4 linked regions of the Kluyveromyces lactis genome follow. The protein of the gene in region 2 interacts with the protein of the main gene of each other region in a biochemical or structural test. Links are inferred from orthologs where the notes say so. Each region holds a gene or a part of one and is shown on either strand. Other genes may lie near its edges. The genes, in order: RAD18, RAD6, UBA1 and UBR1.

Region 1 (4,746 bases), about 260 kb from region 2:
ACTTCTGAAACACTATTGGTTATCACAACCTCTGAAGAGTCTAATGCTATTGAACAAGATGATGAAAAGCAGACAGAAACATCTTCAGAACTACTAATGGTGAGTGATACAACAGAAGCTACATCTTCTGTCGAAGCATCCATCTCATTTAGCGAATTCTCTGATGATGATATTGACAACGTTTCCTCTTTATCCGAATTGATAGAAGAGACATCGAATACAGAAACCGTAGAAACTACATCACTGCTCGTTGAAGATGAGTCCGAGCCATCACTGTACACCAAAGACAATGTAAGCGACACTGCAACAGCAACGGAAATATTGGCATCAAGTGTTGCAGAGGAACTTGAATCTGTTGAGTCAGAAATTGCAAGTGAAGATCATATCTACGTCGCTCATGAAGTCCAATCAGAAGATCATTATCCAGGTACCTCATTACAAGCGGAAGAAGATACCGCTACGCATATCGATCAAATAAAGTCTAACCTTGACGTAGAACTTGTCACATCTACAGTCGTTGTGACAGAAATTGAACTGTCTGTAGCCACTGATAAAACAGAACTCGAAGAATCAGACATTTCATCTGCCGAAAAGGATACAGAAGCTAAATCGAGCTTCTCATCCAGCACTACTATTTCTTCCTCCATTACCAAAACAGCGGATCAGGAAAGCGAATTCATAGTTACTGTTTCCGAAGAATTAACAACATCGGGAAGTTCATAATCGGCGATGGATGATTCAATTGCAGCTGCAGACTTAAACGAGCTTAAGGCTGTCGGTAATATTGAATCAATAGAAGCTTTTGAGTCACCTGTAATCTCTTCGGACATATTGGACACTGAATTAAACCCTACCAACGCTGAAATCGAAGAAAATATTATGGGTGCCCAAAGTGATAGCAATGTCGAGGAAACAAGAGTACAATCAGCCCCATCGCAATCTGGAGGTCGCAATTTAGAGGGAAGAGAAGATATCCTTAATGAATCTCCTGACATCATTCAAGATGAATTATAGATACTATATACTGATATACGATAAATAATGAAAAGTTGAGAATATTAGATTCTATTAATTATTCTCTGACGTTTGATCAATCTTTAGTATAGGTTCCGAACTTACTTCTGAGTTCGCATCACTCTTCTGGGAGAGCTCTTCCTTCTTCATCTTTGCAAGTTTATCGGAACGTTGTGCTTCCAATTTTAATGCTTTAAACGTTGACGTGTGATGTCTCATCCAACCTTTTCTATCAAATCTATCGCTTTTAAAAAGTTTGATCATGGCACTTATAGCATTAGTACGTTTATTACCCCTGAGAAGGTTAGTTATGCTATTGCTATCAGAAGAATGGTCTGTATTGTGCTTAGCTTCCCAACTGGATAGACGACGTTTAAGTTCATTTTCGTCAACAGGATCAATTGAATCTAAAAAATTACTATTCCATAACATTTCGTAATGCTTGTATCGCGCTACCATTTGCTGTTTGGTGCCATTTGATGGTAGAGCCAAAGAAGCAAGCTTCTGTTTCAATTGTGTCATAGATAAAGACTGAAAATCCAATCTTGGTAATCTATTTTCCTTTTGCTGCAGCAGCCCAGAATTTAAGTACCTCTCGTTATGGTACGTGATATCCTTCTTTTCTTTTACCTCTAGCAAATGTGAAGACGGCAGGCTAGTCTTCTCTTCTAGTGGTTGATGCGAAGATTCCATCGAAGGGGAGGGTGTACGTTCATCCAAAATCTCAAAAGAATCCGATCTCTCCAAACTACTACCTTTGTTCAAACACTCATCAATATGCGAACCTTCTAATTCTGAAAGCGGCAGGTGCTTGGAGCATATAGGACATTGTGCCTTCTTCTCTTGCCGCTGTGGATGATCCGTTTTCTTTTTCATTAACAACGTTGTTATACCATCATGTTTTCTCTTTTTAGTACTTACTGAAGATAAAGATGGGCTATCTGGAGTACCCCTCTTTGTACCTACAGATGTATCTGCCTCGTCAGATATTATTATTTCATTATCTTTTTCCTCTTCCTGAGATGATATTGTCAAGTGTTTCTGCAAAGAACCTCGCAGTTTCACGTAACTTGAACAAATCTCTTGTACTAGAAACTCTTTTTGTAGCATAGACTCAGTGAGGTCACTGAGACATAATGGGCATTTGCTCTCTTTCTGAAGGTACTTTCTTATGCAAATGGAACAGAAACTATGACCGCATGGCGTCAAGACCGATGCCTTTAAAAAATCTTTGCAGATATGACATCGAAGAAGTGAATCGAGGTCAGTAAGTTGCGGAACACTCGTGTGAAGAAAATCACGAGGATTCGATATAGTTTCAGGTACACTTAGCTTCATGACAGTTCTGGTTGATTCCTCTGCACTCCAGCATTTAATGTTTGATACTTTTCAGAAGGTAACTCGGATTATCTGCTTTTAGCTTCTTTTTATCGTATTTTAGTAATTTACAAAGTATGGCATAATATTGAAGCACTATTCAGAGCTAATTAAACAACGATGAAACGAAGTCAGATCAAATAACAAAGCCATATGGTCTATCAGGATAATATCCTTTGATTGTAAATATCGGTTAGAAGGAAATGTAAGAATTAAATATGATTGATATAATGATACATACATTAGCAATAACTATTGCAAATAAAAATACTTTAAAAAGGACACCAATGAATAAAAGAAAGGCGCGTACACTACAATAATTGAACGCAGGAATGAAATAAATTGAAAGAAATAAAGGAGACAAATAACTCAGCCATATAAAGAAACCCAAGCGTCAGGCAGATTGTGAAGAAAAACAAAAAATATGGTCATCGAGATAACGACAGACTCTATATGAAAAAGAAAGCAAACATTAGTTCATCCCATCAAAAGGAGGGTCCAAATCGTTTTTTGTTACCTCTTCTCGATAGCTATCTACTTCATCATTGCTGTTACAATGAGCAATCGCCCTTTTCCACACTGAACAAACATCAACACCAAAAAGAATGTTTGATGAATATTTGGAGTGATCAATTAATCCTGATTGACTGGATTCCTTGGGAGAAGTTTGATCTCTGAGACTCAACTTTCGGGGAGAATCAATACATTTCTTTTCTGTGTCATACTGTATCATACAATCATCTATAGATTGATTGATTACGTTTCTGAAAAACACTGGTGATGACGCATAATAATCTTCAAATAGACGAGACGGGCTTTGCCAAGTTCTGGTAGACGCCGGTGGGTTCAGACCATCTTTATTGAAATCTTTAGGTGTTGAAAAAATATTGAATTTCAGAGGAGTGACAGAGCTTTCCCTAATAGGTGTCTTTGAATTTTGCTGGTTAACTGATGGCAGCTGCAGCTTGTTCATCGGAGATACGGGTTCAAATGATGTGTTGAAAGAACACGAATATTTTTTGAATTTAGGAGAAGAGACGGCAGCAACCATTAAATCATCATATTCATGGTTATGTGCACTGACAGAGCGATGGTTAAATTTCAACGGGCCCACCAGATGACTAGAGTCTTGTCTTTTGACCATATTTTCATCTTCGTAATACAGGAAGTCTTTATCCGTAGCCGGAAACTGATGGCTTCCATGACCAGCAGCTTCGGCGTGATCACCTAATCGTGGCGATGAAGGTATATTGGTTATTGAAGTTGATTCTTCGTCACCGTCACTGCTTTGATCCAAGGAAGTATCACCCGCGTCACCAATATCACTCGATTTGTCATCCATGGTAGAAATTGAAAATGACTTATTTTTCCTTTTCGACTTATTGTACGAGGCAATTGATGATCCATTAAAACTGGACGTGGTACTGCCAGCTTCATAACCATCATCCAAATTCACACTCTTGAATCTTTGTAGCTTTACCTTAAAATCATCAATGGAAAAACTTTCATCATTTTTGAAGAACTTGGATTCATACCCAGGTTTAATTTCCCAGAAATGTCCCTTCCCGTCCAAAGATTTACCACCTTTAACAAACGCTTCGTTCAAAGACAAGTTGTGCCTAATAGAATTCTGCCAACCAGCATCTTCTCGCTTATAATAGGGGAAATGAGAGGATATCCAATAATATATTTGGGAAAGTGTTAGCTTACCGGTATCTGATTGCAATATCGAAAGAACAATCATCATTGCATAAGAATAAGGCGGTTTCTTATTTGGATCTTGCAAGACAACAACGCGCGAATCATCAGATAAATGTTCCAAAAACTCTTCTACCGTATTGACTCCACTAGAGCGACCTTGATCACTTTTCATTCTCTTGGCGCGCTGCGGTTTAATTGGTGAAGACAACTCTGGTGACAATGGGTTGATTTTCCTCATTTTGTAGTTAGGCGTCCTCGATTCTGATATACTAGACCGATGAGTGAATGAATGTGGAGGGGTCAATGCACCCTGGTCCAATTCATACTGCTCTGCATCTTTCTCATTCCACACCGCTGCTGCTTCCGAATGCAGCTTTTTCCTGTTTAATGCTACATCCTTCAAAGGTTGCCTTTGAGTCTCCGTTCTACTCATATTTCCAGAACTGTTTATAACAAAGTCGCGTAAATGAAATTAATTTTATCTTTTCTTCTTTGACGCTTCTTATTAGTCTGATTAATTTCGTTGACTTCAGGATTGAAACTCTTTCTATTGTCGGCCGCTCCTTCTGTTATAATTCTATCATAAACTAGAGTCGGTCTCTAGTAAATAATGTTACTCACGTTATTTCCTTGGTCTTGCTGTGCTTCAATCGT
Region 2 (4,219 bases):
ACAAAGGCTCACAGATTGTGGATCGTACAACCTTCCGGAGATACTCCAGTAGATAGCGAAAAGGATAAACGTTCCGGGAAACTCATCGGAGTGGTCTCATTGACGGATATCTTAGGGTTATTGGCAAGACATCAAACTGAATTCAAAAGAGTCGATCCACTTGCTGCTAGAAGACAAAGAGGAAGCATCGTATGATACATATGTGATTATAATTTTTTCACCAGAGTCAAAAATCAATCGTACCTATAATCACTTCTTCTTAACTTCTATTCCTATCGGATCCCCTTTTTTGGCCTTGGTGAGCCATATTCTCTTTTCTAACAGGAACATTATTCACCAGCAATATTTATCGTGATTTATTACTACTTCTCTTTAGGCAGTTGTGGTTAACTTCGCATGTACATTTAATTTCATCTTTCCTCCCTTTTATCTTTTCATCGAATAGGCTCGTTCTTATTTAGGTACACTATATTATAGTTTTAGATATTATATTGTAACAGTAGATCATAATTAGGACTATGGGACGAACCAGAAATTCATGTTGTACAGATTCAAACAACAGGTAGTCCATTATTCCCTCTTCTCTACAAAAGCATTCTGGAGTTAGTTAGCTTTACCCATTATCAATTACCAATTTGATCTTGACGAAGAAAAATGAATATTTAAGCTTACATTATACTTTTGGATATACTGATGTTTGAATGATTAAGGAAGGGGAAAAACGGCAGCACAAACTTATAAAGCACCAATTAAGAAGGAGATGCCACGTCCGGTACCCAAGTCTTTACTGCTACGTCAAGCCAGACGTCTTTCTCCGGCAACTCAAGCACCAACCCCAACATTAGGTGCTTTAATATCACAATTCACACTTTCAGATAATTTCGATGAGACAACTTTAGAAGAACAATACGAACAACTGAAGCCTCTTCTGACCAGTATAACATTGACAAATGTGCCCTTTGACACCTGGACTTCCAATGATATTAACGTACTAAAACACCATCTTGATGCAAAGGCACCGCTGCCTTGGAAATTTTTAACCGATGACGAAAAACGAGTGTGGTATCTTTTGGGGTTTGGAACTTGGGGTCCGCGGAAAGAGTTCAATAAGGTAAAACCTAATGACATTCAGTGGAATGCGAATGCTAAGGTAAGTTCCAATCAAAGCGATGTTCCTAAGGTGGTGACACCTATACCGATTTGTTCAAGTGACAGAATCGAATGGGAAAAGAAAAAGAGACAACTAGATCCGCTAACAATATCAGTGGGCGTATTCGCCTCGATGATCACTCTCACAGCATTCCTTGTATAAAGAACTATTCGCATGGATATGACAATTTGTCATTTTGATTAAAGCGGTAACGGGTTGAGATTATTATGTAGATATTTGTATGCGTATATATATATATATATATATATATATATTTCGTGTTACTTGGATGCTTCTCGCTCACAAGGAATACTCCGGTTTAAGAAATTGGATCTAATCAATTTCGATTATCATTCTTCATCTTCGTCTTCGTCTGCCATGTCTTCCATATCATCTTCCCATGACTTTTCTACGGTCTCTTTCACACGTTTCACGTACTGAGATTTGTGATCCTGGAATAAAGTTGCTGCTTCAACGTTAGCAGGCGATGCAGGATTGGGATCATTAAATAACGACTGAATTGACGTTAGAATCGATGCAACGTCATATGTCGGAGTCCATCTATTCTGAAGAATGTCCAAGCAAATCTCACCATTGGCATACACGTTAGGATGGAACATCTCACTCAAGAATTTGACGTGCGGCGGTTTATTTGGATATTCTTCATCGAATTCTAGTAATAATCTAAACGTTCCATCTTCATACGGCGTATCTGCGGGGCCGATAATCATTGCATTCCAGATCATCACATTATCAGGTAGCGGCGACGCAGATACGCCTGGTGGCGAGTCTTCTTTCATTCTTTTGAAGTCTCTCATCAACCTCCTCCTAGCTGGCGTAGACATATTGTAGTATTCTTTCTTAAAACTTATTCCCTTAACACTTAAACAGGGTTCTTGAAAAGTGGCTATAATTTCGTTTAACCAATATTCAATGATTAATTTCTATCAGTACAATGACAATGTTTAACAAACGTCAGTGGTTCCTATAATATTTCGGTTTCCCAGTTGTAAGACTATCCTCTGCTATATCCCACTAATTGTTCAACCAGAGACAAGTTCTTAATAATTATTCGTAATCGGCGTCTCTTATTTCTACAGGAAATCTCAATTCAGTAAAATCAATTTTAAAGAACCACAATAGTATATTTCTTAACGAAAGTAGCTCCAGTAACAAATAATCAAACACACAGAACACTACTTGCCGTGTCTTTAACCACTGGCACCTTTCGTTTAGTCCAATAGTTATTCCAAACGCATCCTGTATCTATTTCAACTTTCTTTCGAAATGTGGCGAAATCTATTTGTGCGGGTAATAATAAAACGCTTTCCTATGCCAAACGACCATAAGTCATCGAATGATGATATAAATAAGTAAATATCGGTATATAGAGTGGTTACTATACATTACTATAAGCATTGCTAACTTGGTTTACTAAACTCTATCCAATTGCAATTTGTCCGTATGCCTCATCAAATTTCCTAGTTTGAGAACGGTATCGGTACCGTAACCTTGAATAGAATGTACGGTCAAATCACCGTTCCAATATTCGGCATATACTTTGCATAGTGCGAGACCAATTCCAAGTTTATATCTGGGAGATCGTTTGAGAAGCTCCATTAGCGGTTGTCCAACTTTAAATTTACCTTTCGTCAAATTGTTTTCTGACATCCGATCTAGCGATGTTTGTCTGTAACGATCTGATTTTAGATGAGCACCGTTAGAAGAATCATATAACGACAAAGTCTGCAATCCAGGCAAGTGATGGAAGTTGTCTAGGGATTGCTTGGCTAGCTCTTTTGATTTACCAAAGGACCATATCTGCTTATCAGAATGTGGCACTCCACCACCTCTATCACTGATTCTGAAAAGATAACTTTGGTCATTCGATATTATAGTTACTGTCACCGGAGGTGCCTTTTCTAGTCCCAATCGTATGGTCTCCTTGACAGTCACTTCGTAGCTGTTTCTTAAGATTTCTCCCAATAGGAACTTTAGATGCGATGGTAGGAAATAGAATTCTAGTTCAGTGTCCCCGTTGATAATCAATTCGGGCATCTTGATGCCCGCAAAATACATATTATTGATGTATGCCTCACATACTTCCCTCGCACCGTTCAAGTACTCCTTGGCGTTACATTTTTGGAAAATATCTCCCAAAACAAGTGTGTTTTCCTTCTTTCCACTTAAATAATTGGATGTGATACTCAAATGTTCTTCTACGATCAACCTTCTACTAATCCGGGCTCTCAATAAATCCGAAATCAATGCATCCATTTTATCCTGAGGGTACAAATCCAGGATTCTACATTCCAAAGCACCCATAATCAAATGAGGCAAGTTCAAAGAGTTGAAATCTGATAAAATCGCATGTAGAAACTGACAAAACTTCAAATTGTCCTTCTCGTCCTTGATCTCCGGGAACTTTCTGAACCTTTCAAAGATGTTATAATATGATTCATACACCTGATTGAAATGGAAATTATTCACTACATCGAAAGGCAAGTTTTGCAATAGGTCTAATTTATGTGCGATACGAACACATAGCTCCTCTTTCACAAATTTCCCAGAAGAAATAATTTTCATCTTCGTTAACTTACTTGAGTCATCGTAATACTGCGCCAACTGTTTCAACGACATTGGATGTGGTTTCTTCTGCAAATACTTCTTAACCAAGACATTATCATTATGGTAGTAATGGTACTGGTTGATATATTTTGATTCTGTGGGATATGCGCTTAAAGTGCTGGAAATGTAGGGTGCAAGCTCATTGATGGACCTCGTTGCAGAATACCGCGAAAAATCAGGCACCTGCGATATATCCAATACTTTCCTTACAACGCTATTCCGTGACATGACAGAATGGTGTGATGAATTAAATTGGATAGTGTTGTATTAATGGTGAATCAATTTTTGCTCCTTCCGTATACAGTTGATCATTTTTGACTCATCTCATCTTTACTCCAATTCCTTTATTTCATCTTGTAAAGTTCCCTTTGAAAGGTTTATTTTTCTTTTGGTTTGGCATGAAAAACCCAAATCAAAACTAAAACCAAATATCAATTGATT
Region 3 (6,037 bases), on a different chromosome or scaffold from region 2:
TGTCGGGATTGTTGGCGAATCTGGTTCTGGAAAGTCTACCCTATCATTATTGCTAACAAGACTCTACCCTGTACCTAGTGGGAAAGTTTATATTGGTGGTATTGATATCAATAAATGGGATGAGTATGCTTTAAGAAGAACCATTTCAATTGTGGAACAGAAGCCAAAATTCTTTGATGGTACAGTAAGAGAAAACCTGGTATATGGTCTCAAACGTAACGTTTCAAACTCTGAATTAAGATCAGTTTTAAAGTCAGTTGATTTACTATCATTTGTACAAACCCTACCGAATGACTTGAATACGCGCGTTCATGATGGGTTAATGTCCGGAGGTCAAGCCCAACGATTATCTATCGCCCGCACGTTGTTACGCCAGCCGAAAATCATCATACTAGATGAATGCACATCTGCACTGGATGCAGCTAATTCATTTGCAATTGCAGAGCTCATCAGGACTGTTCTGAAGAATGTTACGGTGATTGTTATTACTCATTCAGAGCAATTGATGCAAATTTGCGATAGGGTTCTTGTTTTGAAAAAAGGGAAAGTTAAAGAAGAGGGATCCTATGCAGAGCTCTTCGAATCTAGAGGCGAACTATACCGGATAGTTTCGTGCACTAGATATTAACAGAGGATTTTAAATAACGATTGATTCACATGTATGATTTCTTCTAAGTAAGTTTATATCATTAAGCCTAGCATCATAGAGATAGAATTACGAATTTACATCTGGTATCAGACAAAATTAGAATCATTACAAATGGACGGTGACATATGGAACCTCCACGTCTTCACCTTCCTTATCTTCACAACAGAATTCCAAAATCATGGTCTTAACGTGACTGAGGATTTCCTTCTTCGTGACTAATTTTACAACCTCAGTTATTGGAAGATCCATTCTATCCTTTAGTTTTTTTGGAGGGAAGAATGATGCGTATAGTAAAGAAACATCGTAGGAGACCATTGTAATTTCCAATCCTTCTTCCTTGTTGAAGTGATCAATCAACTCTCTTAATGTGATATCACCTTGAATATCGAATCTATCCCATATTTTATCGAAAGTCTTATCATTGTATTTACCCTTTTGTGATGCGATTGGTTCTGAGAAACCGAAAAATGGAAGAGCTAAATTCACAAACCCGTTCTTGTATTGTTCAATATCTGTCTTTCCAGCGACGACTTTGTATAGTTCTAGGTTGACCAATCCTGTAACCAAAGCAGTGGTTGTAGCGATGGCAGGAATGATACGGCCAGCAATGAACTTAGTCTTTTGACGATCAGCTGGTTCGATAGAGTAGTTTAGAGCACGGTTGTTCGATGCAGCAGTAATGAACTCAATATGATGGTTTGTATCGTCATCCTTTTCAAATTCAACTGGGATTAGTTGGAAACCAGCTAAGGTAGAAGCATCTGGCAAAGAAGCTGCCAAGTTTTCTAAGACATCGCCACCAAGCTGGTTGTTCGCGTTTGGATCTGGTTCATCGTCATTGGTTTGAATTTTGATGTCAGCTTTTGGAATAAATTCAGGAACTATAAGCTTTGATAGGACGGATTGATAGTAGTTAATGTCTGGTTTACCATCATCTCCCTTTAGACCATAATTGAACGCACGCAAGTTAGCAGATGCAACGATGAAGTGGAAGTGATCTGGGTTTTCGATATTGAAGACTAATGGTTCAGGGGCACGCTTTGGACCAGACCAGAATGGCTCCCCGGTGGATGTTGTTGCATCCTTAGGGAAGTTGTAAAGAAACTGTTGGATATCATAACTAAACTTCTTTTCAAATTCTAATCTTGCCCATTTGACACAATCTTCAAAGTTGTAAGGTCTATTGTTTAGACAATCACTAATTGATTCTAAGATACCTTTGGCATCTGGGGCTTGTTTCAAAGTTTGTTCTACGAAGTTTGGTTGCGTCAAGTATAGGTTAACATTTTCAGCTGCGTCAGAGAAGTAGCCTTGGAATAGGGATTTGGCCCAAGCGATAGTGTGATCAATCTTATTAGGGAATGAACGCAATGTACACAATGGGATTGACTTTTCAGGAGGGTCTCTTGAAGATGAATAAGATTCTGTCAGGTTAGGGATAACCACTTGTGTATTACCCTTTGTCCCCAATGTTCCCGATTCTAGTAAAGGTTTCTTGTAGAACACACAACGACGGTCGACATAGGTACGAGCATCCACATTATCCAATGCGTTGGTAACGAAGTCTAATTGATTCCAAAAAGCATCGTTGAAAATATTCTCTGTTTCAGCACCAACTTTGTCAATCTTTGGCTCGATCTTGCCCTTCAAATCAGGATTCATTGCACTTACAGCATCAGCAGCAACTTCAGATTTATTTCTGCCGACATCCTTTGGTCTGAACAAGAATTGACGATTCAAATTCGACTTTTCAATTGAGTCATTGTCGGTAACAATAATTTTACCTTCAGGGCCAGAAGCCAAACCTAGTAAAGCCCAATTCTTGAGCATCTCACAACCGATCGCACCTGAACCCACTAGGAATACCTTCAAATTTGCGATTCTCTTTTGGAATTCCAAACCGAATACGGAAATTTGGTTATCGTAACGAGAGTTGATTGGTTTCGTGGTATCTGCATTTCTTGGGAAATCTTCAGAATCTGGTAGAGATTCGATGGAATCGAAATACATGTACTGTTTAATAGGAGTGAACTTACCGGAGGAGGCCTTTAACACTTCTTGAGCAACCAGACCACCGAAGAAAGCAACGATACCTGGAATATCACCTCTTGCTTGGTTAGCTAGTTCTGTGATGAGCTTTTCATCAACTTTCCCCTCAGAACCCAGCACTTCAGGTTGTTGTGTAGCTAAATCTATAACGAGTTTAACTAATTCATTAGAATCTTCTTCATAAAATGGCCTTGGCAATTCACCTTGATGTCTAACTTGGAACTGATGTAGGGCCTGGAAACCCAAGTGTAATTGTGCAGTAGTCTCGAATTTGGCGAAATCCGAGTACAGGAACTCTGGTGTTGCCAAAGATTCCCTTAAAGACTTGAACGTTAATTTCTGTGGCATCTTGACCTCGGTGAACAGACCACCTTTCTTGTATGTACCAAGATCCTTAACAGAACCAATCTTGAATGCGAACGGACCCAACACCTCGACCTTGTAAGGAGTACCATCATTCAACTTCTCAAGACCTTCCACCTCGGAGAATTTGACGTAATTGCCATCTTCTAACCCATGTCTGTTATCGTCCAACATGGTCACTGTACCATCCGACTCGATATCAGAAACAATACCTGTCTTTGGCTCTTCACCAGTAGTATCAATAACGGTAAATTCTTCACCTAAATCGACGAAAACGTTACCAAATAACCCACGGGTCTCCGTAGAAATGAAACCGATACCGTGAGAGTGTGTATACTCATTCAACTTCACCTTTTCTTCTAGTGAAATCGTGTCTGTCACAACAACTACTTGGAATTCAGACAATTGTGACACGTCTTCTAGCCCCTCTAGCACCTTCACTGGCACGTATGAGTTTAATTCGGCTAATTTTGCCTGTGATACTTTATCTCTAGCTTGCCCAATATCTTGTTCTGACAGGAAAAACTGCGTAGAAAGATCCTGTAAAGCGACAGCGCTTGGATCATAAAGGGTTAAAGACTTAACACCGGCCAAGACAACGTTCTTGGCAATCTCGACACCTAAACCTTTTAACCCAATGATCAAAACGTTCGAATGTTGCATCTTTAACATCGCTTCTTTACCTAATACGTACAATTGACGAGAGTACAAGCTCTCGTCAATTTCTTCGCCATCAACCTTAATATTCGTCATATCTGATACTAACTTGTGATGCAATGTGATCAAAATGAACGAACGGTTCACTTCTTGTTGCTATTGTTGTTTTAAGGAAACTGGTTTGTAGTTGTTTATAGGTTGTTGGCCTTATTAATTCGGTTTTTGCCACTTTGGGTTCGGTCACGTGAGTGGTTGAGTTTTCAGTCACGTGATATGAATGGAAGATGTTCGAATACAATACGACAGAAAGTGAAGCATTTGAGGTGATAGTATGGTTCCAAGAGCCCATATAAATTGTTTCGTAAATAATTAATTAATACGAGACAGTAATCACTTGATTTAAACCCATTTGGCATGCTTGAAGCCATCATTGCATACAATAAATGCATTTACACCAGCACACCACATAATATTTGAATGTTCGTCAAATGTGATATTTGATTTTCCCTTACCTTGAAGACGAGATGTCCTTCTCAAGAGATAAAGAGAGAGGGAGAGACTTCGACTGGCAAGGACAGCGCGATTGTTTACTCTACCCACAGTCTGACAACCCTATATATCTAATTTTCCATGTCCCATTGGATCAGACAAGAATTGTACGGCGGTGCCATCAGCACCGTCATTCCCAAGACGTTTCTTGATGCTTCAATGCTAAGGCAAGTACCAGACACACAGGAAGTGTTCGTGAATAGCAGACGTGAGAATGAACCTAGTGAGGATGGGCTCGGGTTCGATGAAAGTGTGATCGTAGACCTAATGCAGCGTGTGGAAGAGAATAATGACAGAAAAGCGTTAGATATCCATTTGGCAGAAATTTCAGAACTCAACGGATCACAGAAATGGACAGTAATTGACCATCAAGAGCAAACGGAACTCAAATCACAGACATGTATCGTTGTTGAGACCGCATACAAGTGGGGCAAACAATCGATGAAGGAAACCGTAGTAATGTGTGTTGCATTGCTCAGGTTGGATCAATTCGATACCGACGTCATCATTTCTGTTCACGTGCCTATCTCATCGGAACAAGAACTGAAGGCCATGGAACAGGCAATTGCGCAAAACTCACCGGAAAAGCTACCTCAAAGGGTGCACGCGTCCTATTCGTTGCTTCGGGACATGATCTCGAGCTTCAAAGTGGAGGATCCATCGTTATTTGCATGATCGAAACCAGGTATAGTAAAAGTATAGTAAATTATATATCCGGGTAATGAATTTCTTTAAGAATGAGTGTTTCAACTATGGAAATGGTATTATCAATGATAAACAATACATACTTATTCCTCCATCAGCTAGACTCTCAACGGTATATCACTACGAGCGGGAGCCCTGGTGTTGATTAGTGGTTCATAACTTGCGCTATCCGTGTGAAGATGGCCAAGGGCAAGAGAAATAACTGGAGAAGGATAGCCACCATTGCAATTCCGTTGGTGTTTGCAGTGGTGGTTCTTTTCAAGATGCTTAACTACAGTACGACTGCTGCAGATTTGCAGACACTATTACAGAATTTACCTAAGGAGATTAATATGGGTTCTTCCGAGCAATCAGACCGTAAAATTATGGAGAAATTTGAGAAATTGAGCCAGGATATGCTAAAGAAACAGGACGATCAGGCAAGAAGGTTTGATAGAGAGAGGAAAGTCTTGGAGAAGAAGATTCAAGCGTTGAAGCAACCTGCCAGACATGCGACTTTGAGAGAGAAGTTGGCCGTTGTGTTTGAGTACGGTACCACTCAGAGATTCCCCGCTTTTGTTTGGCAAAGTTGGCCGTATTCCGATGACGATGACAGGTTGGATCCTACATTGAAAAAATACGAACGGAACTGGGCTAATAAAAACCCTGGTTTCGTTCACGAGATTGTCAACGACGATACTGCTGCGGCGTTTGTGCATGGTTTCTATGCTACAGTTCCTGAAGTGATAGAAGCTTATGATTCTTTGCCTACGTCGATCTTAAAGATCGATTTCTTTAAGTACCTCATCTTGCTGGCGCGTGGTGGTGTCTGGGCAGATGTCGACACTGATCTGTTGCAACCAGTACCCAATTGGATCCCAGAGAACGTGTCTCCAAAGGAAATCGGGTTGATTATTGGTATTGAACACGACTCGAAGACTCCTGATTGGAGATCTTCTTATTTGAGAAGATTGCAATTTGGCAATTGGGTCGTACAAGCCAAGCCAGGCCATCCAGTGATCCGTGAAATGGTCGCAAGGGTCACTGAGACTACATTGGAAAAAAAATACGCTGATGAACTTAACA
Region 4 (5,772 bases), on a different chromosome or scaffold from region 2:
ATAACAAAAAAATCATCTGACACATCGTCATGACAAAGAGAGCAGTGAAATTCATTGAGTTCTCCTGCCAGATCTTCTCCGTCCATATCCACATCTTCGTCATTACCAGCACTGTACTCCTCGTGCTTGTCCATGAATTTTTTCTGCTGACGGGAGAATCTATTCATAATCTGTTGTTGACGATTTTTGGCTAACCTTCTTTTACGCTCCTGCTCTGTCTCCTCGAAATTTACACCTTGATTTGCTTTTCTGATTTTGTAGTCCGCGATGTACTTTGTTCCGAAACACTCTGTTAGAGATTCTAAAACTGCCGTTGGGCGCTTCATGATCATGTTATCTAGAAGGTAATCAGCAGTTGCCACGACATTCTCAGAAAACGATCCGCTTTCAGAGTCAACAATGCTCAATAACAAATCACATATTGGTTTGCTAATATACGCCTCTGGCAAAGAATCTTTACCATTGACCATTTCGTCGTCTCTAAAAATGGCATGAATTAAATGAAGTAGCTCGTAAGTAAACGAAAAACTGGAATCGGAGACAGCCAACTTTAATAGCTTGAATATCAACTTCGCAAAGAGATTTGTTCTTGTGAAGCTTCCTAGTTCTCGCGCACATGGGTCTAATTCATCTAATTCAAGTAATTGGGGTTTGACAATTATTTTGGCCCGTTTTTCCTTGCTATCAGCTAAATGTGACTTAACAATCGTGGCACTATGTTCAAAATCATTTCCCATATTCAGTAACCGCAGGGAATCTATTCTCTTGTAGAGTTCCTTCTTTAGTTTGAAAACACCATTATCTTCGAGCCCTTTGGGCTCAATGTACGTAGAAACTTCTTCGAGAACTGTATCAAATTGGGAAACACTTTCAGTAAGGTAATCGGGTATATCGTTCAATAAGTCAGTGTATGATAGTGGTTCAGCGTATAGTTTATAAATAATGGCATTCTTAATGTTGTACAATTGTGTTTCTTCCAGGGTATCGAACTTTTTATAAAAGTCTCTTTCCACCAATATCTGATATAGGAATGCAACGAATTGTTGAATAATCGACGATATTTTATCATCGTACACTGTCTCTGTCGAGGGAACACTTCCATCAAACCAGTCAAGTAATTCCCACCTATCTAACATGTTATAGATGACTCTTTGAAAATCGTTTTTTTCAATTAGAAACGCCAATTGATTAAGTTGTATGTCTCTGCTATAGGAGCTCATTTCAGGATTGTTCTTGTAATATGCTGACTGGTGAAGAACTGACATACCATTTCTAACCCAAAATCCTATATCGATTTGCGAACATAAGACGACAGATCTCAAAGCAAAATCCGAAATAACTAGATAGTCTTTGGATTGAGATAAAACTTGAATTGACACCTGTAAGGGAACATGCTGCACAAGGAAAGAAAACAAAGTATGAACGGGATTCATAAATGAAACTCGTTCTTTGCTGATTTGGAATTTTATGATTTCAAAGTCTTTGTATAATTTGTATGACAAGTTTCTATGTCCCAAAAATGAATCCAATAAGTTGATGGCCCCAATAAGCAATCGCTGGTCAATGTGATCCTTTGATTGCTGCAAAACTTTATCAAAAGTCTGAATGATGCTATAGACTGATGTCGTATACTCCAAATATGGAATAAAATGCTGGTCTTCCCTTAAAACATGCTCTCCTTCCTTTCTTTTAATCTTCCATGCGCCGTTGAAGAGTTTACATAGTGTTACAATCATGATAAACTCTCCCGGTTTCAACAATAGATTAGGGTCAGTGATTTTACTGAGTAAAGTTTCTACAGCATACAATCCTTGTTTGAATGATATACTGTAGCTTTTAGAAGGGTTACTTCTCTGAACCCGTTGCCAAACCAACGTGCCCTCATCCATGGTAGAAAAGTCAACAAAAACGTCAATCACTGACCATATGACGTAGTTGAAATGTCCACTGTGAAAAATACTGTAAGCCGTAGTTGGGCAGGTGAATAACTGAACGACACTCTCCCTTAATGATGTAAGTTGAGGTTCACGATCCATGAAGGTCACACTTCGTGTCATGTGTGGGAAAATTTCGACTAGCTGATCAGTAAACATTGGTTTGTGCACAGCACTTGATGCTAGTGTTGGTATAATTAGATCCTGAACTATTTTTCTAAGCTTCTTCCAGTACCTGTTTTCGAGGAACAACACGTATTGCAACCTAGAATTAGTATATTCATGATGATCTTCTGCTATTACTTTATTCAAGATGGGGGAAATAGCAGATATGTCTCCAGGATCTAGGGATTTATGTCTTCCAAGAGGGATCTTGACACCTTCACCCAAAACCGAATGATCCGCATACAAATATGGATCATCACTCAGGTAACTATCTGAAAAGTAATCTCTAACAACTGAGGTCATATCGATAGACTGATAAAAAGGTTCGTACTTGGAACATAGAACTTTGCCTATAGCATTTCTGAAAAGGCTTTGGAAAGTAGAGTTTGGGATATTCAAACAATCATTAATCCACATTATGCTATACTTACAGGCTTCTTGATGTAGATATTCATACCATTGAGTTATTGTGCAGCTCAACCCGTTACTTTGAACGGAAAAGAATCCTCCCATTAAAGATGCGATATCAGCGCTGCATCTCAACAATGATCTCCCCTCAGAATCGATCTTCGCAGTCAATAAATCAATATGTTTGTTATCAGGCCCACCTTGTCTAATGGCAGCAGAAGCCTGCGAATAGTTATGAAATTCATCGTTGTATACCAAAATAGCATAATCTTTAAGTGTACTCAAGGGATCTAACGATGTAGATGGCGTTTGTTGCTGGGACTCCTCTTCGTCCATGTATTGATTTCTATATGCCAATCGCCTCAGCATGTCAGCTTGTTCATTATATTTCCCGTTCTGGATGAAGTATCTAAGTTTCGCAATGAGTGGTTTTTGAATTGTTGTTAATGGCTCAATGTTTTGGTTGAAGACATCGATGAAATGATCAAATAATTCTATTAGGACGCTTTCTAGCATCTTAGAAATCTTGCCATCATGGTCGTCAAACTCGTCTTCCAAACGACCATTATCTTCAGCACCTTTACAGTTCAATTCATGGTTCCATGCCTCCTTGTCACCACAATCACATATACCGTTATTGAATTCTGTGCAGATCGACGTATATACGTGATGACCAACGTGATCCTTTGGATTGAAACAGTTTACACATAGCACACAAGTATCATCAAATGAACACTCCTTACAACGGTAGATCGGTTCGCCTACTCTAAACTTCGCACCACATATTCTGCCAGCGTGGTTGAATTTCGAATGCCCGCCATTCTCATCGATCTTATACCAGGGTTTCGAACTCAGCTTGATTTCCATTGCTTGGTCGACATTCTTGGGGAATTCACGCTCATTTGTAGCAGTAAACATATGCGGAAGAAGCCTACCACTGTCTGAAATCATATAGTAATAATACCCATATATGAAACTCTTGAGCTCTTTATCCATAACTGCTCTCTCTGCAGATCCCTTTATATCTTTGAATTCAGGCCGAGAATGAATGCAGCCTAAGGTTCGTCCAACATGTTGCCGCAAAAACGACTCTGGGTCAGTATCGTTAATCATATTACCTTAGGGATTGTTCTGATATTGCTATGTTGATGATCAGTTGTTTATACGACAAATCAACCTGTATTGAACCTTTGTCAACTGTGCATTGGCAAGGAAAGTCAAAACTCTTTTCTGATATCGTATTCCTTTTTTTTTTATTGAATCTTTCAGAAGATAAAAATGAATCCTCTCAATGTATGTGGAATTTGACCGAAGCAAAGTGTAAGAAGTACCCTAGAAATAATCATTTCGGTTCCATAAACACAATTGAATCATTTAATAAGCAGGTTATGTTTGGTAGCAAGTGGTACACTGACCATCAATACCTTCTTCTTCAAATAGGTTGTCAAAATAATCTAAATAAAGCATTTCTTTCATGTCTTCGATTTGTAATCCAACGTTGTTCTCAGCACACAATTTAGCGAAGTTATATAAATAAAAAAAACTACGATTAAGTTAGGATTCCAGCTGCAGTTCAACGTCTCGATCCAAAGAAGCTCGCCTGTTTCAAAGTCGTCAGCCCTATAAATCCCTGACTTTTGGTTCAAAAGTAAGTCACGTGACTGATATTCGGTCATGTGACCACGGTCAAACATCAAAATATTTACAATAATAGTCCCTCTATACACTCCATAGACACTACCCAACTGATGCTAACTCCATTGTGATTTTACATCAGGTATCCTAAGATATTCTTTTTTGTGCTCTTCGTACTAATGTTTAAAGGTGGCAAATGCCTCGAATACTTGCTGAAACGAAAAACTGAAAGTAAGACAAGCTTAAAAATGTAAATAGTAAATAGATAAATGGATGCACGTTATATCAAGGGGCGCGCTTCTTGTTTTTGCTCTGTTAATAGTGTTCATTTTAGGTTTGAATGACTAGCAAGCCAAGACCAGAAAGAAGCAGGTATTCTTTTTAGCGAGTCCATTTAAGATGGGCGAATCAGTGCGATGTCTGCGTGATTTTTTGGTTCACTTTGCTCATTTCTGCAGGTACAGATACAATGATATGTGTTCGTTTTACCTTTGGAAGGTTCTACTCACCTGTATGAACCATTGTAATGAGGAAATAAACTGGGAAGATCTTACTCATGTTTTTGGGTTAAATCAGTGGGAAATGGGCGATTTTGGGAAGATCAAATTGAGATCTAACTGGCGTGAGTCACTCATACCGAAAAGGAAACATAACGATCATCGAGGTTCGCAGTGTTCGAAACAGTGCCATGGCACTGAGACCGTTTACTACTGCTTTGATTGTACAAAAAATCCGTTGTATGAAATTTGTGAAGATTGTTTTGATGAGAGTCAGCACATAGGCCACCGATATACATCACGCGTAGTGACGCGGCCAGAGGGGAAAGTATGCCATTGCGGCGACATATCTAGCTATAATGATCCCAAGAAGGCTTTTCAATGTAGGATACAGAGTAACAATGCAGATATTGATGTTACGAACCTACAACTGTACAACGATATGTGGATTTCAACGTTCTCGCAGGTACTCGATTTTATTATTGACTGTTGTTTTGCTTGGATGGATGGCGATGAGAAGATAAAACATGAAGCTGTGGAGTCCATACCGATCAAAGACTCTGTAGGAAATGTAGAATCATTTTCACAAAAGTATGTTCTCGTCTTATACCAGCATGAATGTAACATACATGTGCAAGATGTTGCAAGGAAAATTTCAAGGGCATTGAAGAAGGATATCTCGTTTGGTACGTTCGTACTCTCACAGTTTGATCAAGATGAGCATTTCACCGTTATTGCCGAATCAACCAATAAGGCTTTTATGCTACGATTGAAGCAAGAACTTGAATTACAAGATATACCGACCCATTTGATGAATGAGTCCAACGTTTTTAAAAGGTACATGATAAGTGAACTAGTACGATGGTTACATCATTTTGCCGTTCATAACCCTTCAGTTTTATCTGGAAAATTGTCTCTTAGACTTGCATACATGGATCAATATGTATCCAACCTATTGGCCGTGAAGCCATTCAAAATCAACATTCTTGGGAATTTCATCGTACCACATCAAAAGCATAACTCATTTCCCTGGATCAAACCCTGGAACTTCCAAAGCAACAGTGACGAAACACATGATCCAAACATCACCAATGTCATGCTGATATATGACCAGAAAATTAGAGAAACGGATA

What was found.
Region 1: the proteins of RAD6 (region 2) and RAD18 form a complex in vitro, tested with the Saccharomyces cerevisiae proteins (12 studies listed by BioGRID, with this or other methods). The link is inferred for Kluyveromyces lactis from reciprocal best matches to the Saccharomyces cerevisiae genes RAD6 and RAD18.
Region 3: of the proteins of RAD6 (region 2) and UBA1, one has a biochemical effect on the other in vitro, tested with the Saccharomyces cerevisiae proteins (6 studies listed by BioGRID, with this or other methods). The link is inferred for Kluyveromyces lactis from reciprocal best matches to the Saccharomyces cerevisiae genes RAD6 and UBA1.
Region 4: the proteins of RAD6 (region 2) and UBR1 form a complex in vitro, tested with the Saccharomyces cerevisiae proteins (10 studies listed by BioGRID, with this or other methods). The link is inferred for Kluyveromyces lactis from reciprocal best matches to the Saccharomyces cerevisiae genes RAD6 and UBR1.

Annotation. Positions count from the first base shown.
Region 1 is NC_006039.1:764,779-769,524, forward strand, and holds RAD18 (E3 ubiquitin-protein ligase RAD18), read right to left. Parts: upstream 2,353-4,746; coding exon 1,069-2,352; downstream 1-1,068. Other genes in the region: GTPase-activating protein SED4, read left to right, coding at 1-723; HCM1 (Hcm1p), read right to left, coding at 2,864-4,525. UniProt on the Saccharomyces cerevisiae protein: E3 RING-finger protein, member of the UBC2/RAD6 epistasis group. Associates to the E2 ubiquitin conjugating enzyme UBC2/RAD6 to form the UBC2-RAD18 ubiquitin ligase complex involved in postreplicative repair (PRR) of damaged DNA.
Region 2 is NC_006039.1:501,984-506,202, forward strand, and holds RAD6 (E2 ubiquitin-conjugating protein RAD6), read right to left. Parts: upstream 1,996-4,219; coding exon 1,501-1,995; downstream 1-1,500. Other genes in the region: KLLA0_C05588g (uncharacterized protein), read left to right, coding at 1-195; KLLA0_C05610g (uncharacterized protein), read left to right, coding at 761-1,312; protein kinase PKP2, read right to left, coding at 2,585-4,006. UniProt on the Saccharomyces cerevisiae protein: E2 ubiquitin-conjugating enzyme that accepts ubiquitin from the ubiquitin-activating enzyme E1 and transfers it to a E3 ubiquitin-protein ligase.
Region 3 is NC_006038.1:1,251,842-1,257,878, forward strand, and holds UBA1 (E1 ubiquitin-activating protein UBA1), read right to left. Parts: upstream 3,815-6,037; coding exon 755-3,814; downstream 1-754. Other genes in the region: ATP-binding cassette a-factor transporter STE6, read left to right, coding at 1-628; Ran GTPase-binding protein MOG1, read left to right, coding at 4,349-4,942; HOC1 (alpha-1,6-mannosyltransferase), read left to right, coding at 5,152-6,037.
Region 4 is NC_006042.1:1,412,674-1,418,445, forward strand, and holds the start of UBR1 (E3 ubiquitin-protein ligase UBR1), read right to left. Parts: upstream 3,621-5,772; coding exon 1-3,620. Other genes in the region: putative ubiquitin-protein ligase UBR2, read left to right, coding at 4,542-5,772. UniProt on the Saccharomyces cerevisiae protein: Ubiquitin ligase protein which is a component of the N-end rule pathway. Recognizes and binds to proteins bearing specific N-terminal residues that are destabilizing according to the N-end rule, leading to their ubiquitination and subsequent degradation.